Linked DNA regions of Mus musculus. The protein of the gene in region 2 purifies or fractionates together with the protein of the main gene of each other region. This does not show direct contact. Links are inferred from orthologs where the notes say so. Each region holds a gene or a part of one and is shown on either strand. Other genes may lie near its edges.

The links. Proteins that work in one complex are often made in the same cells at the same time.
Region 1: the proteins of P4ha2 (region 2) and Col1a1 purify together in Homo sapiens (co-immunoprecipitation; 3 studies listed by BioGRID and IntAct, counting the BioPlex papers as one, with this or other methods). This does not show direct contact. The link is inferred for Mus musculus from reciprocal best matches to the Homo sapiens genes P4HA2 and COL1A1.

What each region holds. Positions count from the first base shown.
Region 1 is NC_000077.6:94,949,574-94,953,223, forward strand, and holds the end of Col1a1 (collagen alpha-1(I) chain preproprotein), read left to right. Parts: intron 1-146; coding exon 147-200; intron 201-523; coding exon 524-631; intron 632-717; coding exon 718-1,000; intron 1,001-1,135; coding exon 1,136-1,326; intron 1,327-1,527; coding exon 1,528-1,770; intron 1,771-1,899; coding exon 1,900-2,046; 3' UTR 2,047-3,469; downstream 3,470-3,650. UniProt on the Homo sapiens protein: Type I collagen is a member of group I collagen (fibrillar forming collagen).
Region 2 is NC_000077.6:54,128,298-54,131,947, forward strand, and holds the end of P4ha2 (prolyl 4-hydroxylase subunit alpha-2 isoform 1 precursor), read left to right. Parts: intron 1-750; coding exon 751-819; intron 820-1,168; coding exon 1,169-1,265; intron 1,266-2,892; coding exon 2,893-2,963; 3' UTR 2,964-3,370; downstream 3,371-3,650. UniProt on the Homo sapiens protein: Catalyzes the post-translational formation of 4-hydroxyproline in -Xaa-Pro-Gly- sequences in collagens and other proteins.

The DNA of each region.
Region 1 (3,650 bases), about 41 Mb from region 2:
TAGACATTCTGATTCCTTCCTAGTGAGGGTGAGGGGCAGGACACAGACAGACAGACAGAGGGCTCAAAGAAGGATTGTGGGAGTGGTCTAAAATGAGGGGATATGTTACCCCCATTGCCCCTGAACTGCTTTTCTCTGTTCTTCAGGGTTCTCCTGGTGAACAAGGCCCCTCTGGAGCTTCAGGTCCTGCAGGCCCCCGGGTAAGTTGCATCTTCCATTACTTCTTCCTGGGTTCCTCCCTGTCTTGGTTACTTTCAGATATCCCTCTGTTCTCCAGAGAAGAGTTCAGAGACCAGACAGGGGGTGGGGAGAAAAAGAAGCTTGGTCTTACAGAACCTTTGACCTTCCCACCCGTGCCCCCTTGCAAACCTGGCCATAGGAACTAGTTGAGGGCACCCTCTGAGAGACAGAAGCAGAGACTGGGCGGAGCCAGCAGTGGGGGGAGGGGAAACACTTCTGAGCCGGAGTTTGGGGGCTGCCTTGAGTTTCTAGCCACTTTTTCTAACCATCTCTCTATCCCTAGGGTCCCCCTGGCTCTGCTGGTTCTCCTGGCAAAGACGGACTCAACGGTCTCCCTGGCCCCATTGGTCCCCCTGGTCCTCGAGGTCGCACTGGTGACAGCGGCCCTGCTGTATGTAGCCCCACATCCTCTGCCTCATGACCCTCCCCCAAGAAGACTTGAATACCTGGAAACCTTGATCTCCTTCCTCTACACAGGGTCCCCCCGGCCCTCCTGGACCCCCTGGCCCTCCTGGACCTCCCAGTGGCGGTTATGACTTCAGCTTCCTGCCTCAGCCACCTCAAGAGAAGTCTCAAGATGGTGGCCGCTACTACCGGGCCGATGATGCTAACGTGGTTCGTGACCGTGACCTTGAGGTGGACACCACCCTCAAGAGCCTGAGTCAGCAGATTGAGAACATCCGCAGCCCCGAAGGCAGCCGCAAGAACCCTGCCCGCACATGCCGCGACCTCAAGATGTGCCACTCTGACTGGAAGAGCGGTAAGGATTAACCCCAGCCACCTCCCCCCCCCCCTTTAGCCTACCATGCTGCTTCCCCCATGTTTTCATACATTCCACTTTCCATATGGTGCTGGCTGCCTACTCCTCCTGACTGCTTTGCCTTGCCCACTTCAGGAGAGTACTGGATCGACCCTAACCAAGGCTGCAACCTGGACGCCATCAAGGTCTACTGCAACATGGAGACAGGTCAGACCTGTGTGTTCCCTACTCAGCCGTCTGTGCCTCAGAAGAACTGGTACATCAGCCCGAACCCCAAGGAAAAGAAGCACGTCTGGTTTGGAGAGAGCATGACCGATGGATTCCCGGTACGTGAGCTGAACCCCAGAGCAACTCTACAGGAGATGGGTTAGCCTCTTATCCAGAAAGCACAGGAAGTCCTGGAGTGGATTTAATCTGCTTAGTGGAAGGGCAGATACAGATCTAGGATACAGGAGTTCTGGGTAGGAAAGCCAGGGACGAGAAGGTCCACGTGATCGCTCATTCTCTCCTCTCTCTGGCCCGTGCAGTTCGAGTACGGAAGCGAGGGCTCCGACCCCGCCGATGTCGCTATCCAGCTGACCTTCCTGCGCCTAATGTCCACCGAGGCCTCCCAGAACATCACCTATCACTGCAAGAACAGCGTAGCCTACATGGACCAGCAGACTGGCAACCTCAAGAAGGCCCTGCTCCTCCAGGGATCCAACGAGATCGAGCTCAGAGGCGAAGGCAACAGTCGCTTCACCTACAGCACCCTTGTGGACGGCTGCACGGTGAGTCCCCCAGACTGGGTCCAGCCTGTCTCTTTGGGCATCTGGTTTAGCCTTCTGGCAGAACAGAGTGAGCCTCACTTCATTCCTACCTTGGTAATGACCCTCTCCCGCTGTCTTCATTCACACCAGAGTCACACCGGAACTTGGGGCAAGACAGTCATCGAATACAAAACCACCAAGACCTCCCGCCTGCCCATCATCGATGTGGCTCCCTTGGACATTGGTGCCCCAGACCAGGAATTCGGACTAGACATTGGCCCTGCCTGCTTCGTGTAAACTCCCTCCACCCCAATCTGGTTCCCTCCCACCCAGCCCACTTTTCCCCAACCCTGGAAACAGACGAACAACCCAAACTCAATTTCCCCCAAAAGCCAAAAATATGGGAGATAATTTCACATGGACTTTGGAAAACATTTTTTTTCCTTTGCATTCACCTTTCAAACTTAGTTTTTACCTTTGACCAACTGAACGTGACCAAAAACCAAAAGTGCATTCAACCTTACCAAAAAAGAAAAAAAAAAAAAGAATAAATAAATAACTTTTTAAAAAAGGAAGCTTGGTCCTCTTGCTTGAAGACCTATGTGGGTATAAGTCCCTTCCTGCCCACTTGGCTTATGATACCCTAATGCTGCCTTTTCTGCTCCTTTCTCCACCCCCTCTTGGGGCCTCTCCTCCATTGCTCCCCAAATTTAAGTCTCCCCCAAGACACAGGAAATAATGCATTGTCTGCCCAGCAAACAAAGGCAATGCTGAAATGTCCCACCAGCCCCTCAACCCCGTCTACTTCCCTACCCAGCACCCTCAAATCCTGCTGGGACATGGGGTTCTTGGACTGTTGAAGGAACCTAACCATCTGGCATCTCCATGGCCTCTGCAACAAACCCCCCACTTTTTTCTCTCCCCCCCCCCCCAGGGAGGGCCTGTGCTTTGGGCAGCCACCTGCCCCTCTCAGGGGTTTGGAGCCAGGCAGGGTCACAGCAGACTGGAAACATCGGACATGCATGTGCAGGCTGGGTGGGAGAGACCGTTCTATTCCTCAGTGCAATTGTGTTGCTGAAAGACTACCTCGTTCTTGTCTTTGTGTGTCACCGGGGCAACTGTGTGGGGGCGGGGATGGGGGCAGGGTGGCAGCACGCCCAGTTTGGTATCAAAGGTGCTACATCTCTGTGAAGGGGTGGGGTGGGAAGGAATTTCTGGTGCTATAGAAGCTGAGATGCTCCCTAGACCAGCAAATGTTTCTTTTGTTCAAAGTATTTTTTATTCTTTTTTTTTTTTTTTTTAATGGATAGGGACTTGTGTGAATTGTTGGGGTTTTTTTTTTTTTTTTTTTTGGTTTTGTTTTTTTTTGTTTTGTTTTGTTTTTTTTCCTGAAGGTGCTATTTAACAAGGGAGAAGAGAGTGCGGGGACTTCACCCTGCCCACTCTCTACTCTCTCTCCACTCTTCTAGTTCCTGGGCCTATCTGATCTCTCTCTTTCTTCTGAAACCCTCCCCTCTTGCTGCTGCTCCCTCCCCTCTGCCTCTCTCTTGGTCTGTCCTGCATCAGGGTTTCAGAGCACCACTTTCCAAAGCACAAAACAGTTTTTACCCCTGGGCTGGGAGGAAACAAGAGACTCTGTACCTATTTTGTATGTGTATAATAATTTGAGATGTTTTTAATTATTTTGATTGCTGGAATAAAGCATGTGGAAATGACCCAATGCATGTGCAGTGGCCTCTGAATTTCCTTCCTGGGACGTGGGGAGGTGGGGATCCAGGGACAGGGCTCTGGGATGGGGGACTTGCCTTCTACCCCTGCCCTTTCTCTCTCCCTCACTTCTCATCCAGATATTGCCACCTTCCTCTCTTGCCTGTCTTATGCCTTAGACCTTTTTTCTTGCC
Region 2 (3,650 bases):
CCTTCCTTAGTTTCTTTCTTTTTCAGATGTATTTATATCGTATGAGTATTTGCCTGCATATGTGTGTGTATGTATGTGTGTATATATATATGTATGTATATATATTGCATGTACCACGTGCATGCATGGTGCCCACAGGCCAGAAGAGGACATCAGATCCCTTGGTATTGGAGTTACGGATGGTTGTGAGCCTCCACAAGTGCTCTTACATTGGGTTATGTGTAATAGCAGCAAACGCTGTTTTTTTTTTTCTTTTCCAACTTTATTAGGTATTTTCTTCATTTATATTTCAAATGCTATCCCGAAAGTCCCCTATACCCTCCTCCCACCCTGCTCCCCTACCCACCCACTCCCACTTCTTGGCCATGGTGTTCCCCTGTACTGGGGCATATAAAGTTTGCAAGGCCAAGGGGCCTCTCTTCCCAGTGATGGCCGACTAGGCCATCTTCTGTTACATATGCAGCAAATGCTCTTAACCACTGAGATGTCTCTCTAGACGAAGATAGTCATTTTTAAAATAGGCTTGGATTGTTCCCATTCAAGGACAGCCTGACTGTGGGGCTTCTGGGGCCTTTAGCTCTTGGACATCCAACCATAGAGACTGTCCTGATGAACCCCACAGATTTTGTGGTGTGTGGGAAGTCTCTCTTGGCTGAGGATAGCCATAGAGCAGAGCCTCCAGGCAGAGCCCCTCAGGGTCGCCTGCCATCCTTGACCAGAGGGACCAAGCTCTTTGCCTTATGTTCCCAGATGAGCGATGTCGAAGCTGGTGGTGCCACCGTCTTTCCTGACTTGGGAGCTGCTATTTGGCCCAAGAAGGTAAGTGTGACTCTTCAGGGTCACACGTTGATGCAGGCCTCAGACCTTGTCCCTGTCCCCCAGTGCTATTGACTGTCAATGTGATGTACCTTAATTCCTTCCCACCTGCACCCTGAACTTCTACCCAGGGAGAAGGGATGGTAAGGAAGACCCTTCAGGGCAGGTAGTTTCTAAACTTCCTTCCATTTGAAGGATAGGTACTTTTTAAGAACTTAGTTTTCGGAGTCCCAGAGCCCCATCTCCCAAACACAGGAAAGGAGGGACATTCTGTCAAAGGGTGAGGGGTTCTTGGAGCATGTCCTTGTGAGTAATCTTTAGGGTGTGCTCTGACAGCTCATCTCTTTCGCAGGGCACAGCTGTATTCTGGTACAACCTTCTTCGCAGTGGGGAAGGTGATTATCGGACGAGACATGCAGCCTGCCCTGTGCTTGTGGGCTGCAAGTGGGGTGAGTGGCTTGAGGGGTAGTGTGGATAGTGCCTCAACCTGGTATTTGATGGTTGGCCTTAGGCGCAGAAGCGGAGACGACAGCTAACTGCGTTCAGTTCTGTTCATCACAAAAGGTTTTCTCTGGCTTGTACCACCCAGCCAGAGCTCCTGCAGTTGTCTGCTGACACTCAGAGATGCTCAGAGAGCTGAGGCAGCCCGGGCTGCATGAGCACCATAGGTCCAGTGTAGTCTCTGGCAAGGGTTTTAGGGGAGCGTAGCTGGGAGGTGTCTGTCCAGGGCAAGCAAGACTTGTGTGGCTATAACCAGCATCTTAGGTAGCAGGGTGGGAGACTGACTGTCCTTGTCACCTGAAGAAGGACAGGTCTGAGATGAGACTGGAGCCAAGAGGTGAGACTGGAGGTTGGGACCAGACCAGAGAAGATGAATATTAGCCTCATCCTTTAAGTTGCTGTGGAGAACTAGAAACGGCCTAGAACGTGACAGGAAGGGACCACATGCGTTTAGAACTCTTGGAGTTTGGGCGATAAATAGTGATTGGCTCACAGAAAAGGTAAAATAAACAAATGAAAATTTGGTCGTTGCCGATTCAGGAGGAGAAAGACCAGTGTAAGTCTAATCTACTAGGTGTCGAAAGCATAGCACAGATAGTCTACATGTGAGCACTGTGAGTTAATAAGAACTAAAGTTTATCATTTCGCTACATATGCTATTAGTCTTAAGTCTTCTAGACAGTTTGTTTAGTTAAGTACAGGTATTAAATTGTATTTTAAAATCTGTCTTTAGTAGTGCATTACTTTTAAAAATGTGTGTGTGTGTGTGTGTGTGTGTGTGTGTGTGTTTGTGTGTGTGTGTGTTTGTGTAAGTGCCATGGCATGTGTGTGAGGGACAGAGGACAATTTGAAACACTGGTTTCCCTCCTTCCATGATGTGGGCTCTGGGGTTTAAGCTCAGATGGAGCTTATAACAGGAGCTATATCATCTGCTCTGCATTACTTTTGTATCCCTTGAGAGAGCCCATGTTTGAGGAACACTCATGGTCCATGCCTGTGACATGGCAGGGACAGTGTTTCAGCTGGGGTGCCCACAGCACTAAGATTCTGTCTTGTGGCTCACAGGGCCTGAGGCTCATGGCCAAACCCTGCCCAGTGCTGACAGGTTCCTGTCCCTCACCTCTCAGTTTCTACTTGTCCCTGTCCCAGCTTCTTGAGGTCCTTCACACTTACCAGAGTGGCTCCTGCCTTTGGAGACTTTCTCAGCTCACTTTCTGCGTTTACTCCACTTGGAGTGGCAGCCGTATGGTATACCCGCCTTCTTTCTGGGATAACTTCTGTTGGCTTCCTGTTCTGTTTCAGTACTGCTCTCATCCCTAACATCATGAGATGCTCTTTGGCTTTGTTCCCATGGTAACTTACATACACCCACCGAATCACTGGTTGGCTTCTGCACCATTATCTGTGTGCTCATGTATTTTCATCAGCACGTGAGCAGCTTGAAGCCTGAGGCCGTGTGGCACTGGAGTGTTACCCACAGAGCACAGGGCAGTGGTCATCATGGAGGAAGCATTCGTTTTGGCTGCTTGCTGAACTGATAGGTGGGATGGTCATGTACTTGCTTTCTGTTCACAGTCTCCAACAAGTGGTTCCATGAGCGAGGACAGGAGTTCTTAAGACCTTGTGGAACAACGGAAGTTGATTGACGTCCTTTTCTCTCCGCTCCTCCCTGGCCCATAGTCCAAATCATCTTCAAGTTCAACATGACAGCTTCCTTTTTATGTCCCAGCTCCTGTCAGGCAGGTCATTGGAGGAGCCAGTGTTTGACTGAATTGAGAGAGTATATCCTGAGCCTAGTCCTGGGTGACCTGGGCCCCAGACTCTGACCAGCTTACACCTGCCCTGGCTCTGGGGGTGTCTTGGCATGGCTGCGGTAGAGCCAGACTATAGCACCCGGCACGGTGCCTTTGTACCTCAGATATTTCAGGTAGAAGATGTCTCAGTGAAACCAAAGTTCTGATGCTGTTTACATGTGTGTTTTTATCACATTTCTATTTGTTGTGGCTTTAACCAAAAAATAAAAATGTTCCTGCCAGAAGCCTTAAATAGCCTTATTTTGGAGTGTTTTGGTTTTGTTGTTATTCTTGTTTGGTATTGTTTGTATTGTTTGGTATTGTTTCCAGGAACTGGGCCTGGCTTGGCTTAAAATGCCTGCCACAGCTAGGCGTGATGGCACATGCCTTTTATCCCAGCACTCGGGAGGCAGAGGCAGGCGGATTTCTGAGTTCAAGGCCAGCCTGGTCTACAGAGTGAGTTCCAGGACAGCCAGGGCTACACAGAGAATCCTGTCTTGAAAAACCAAAAAAAAAAAAGAGTGCCTGTCACACGAACAT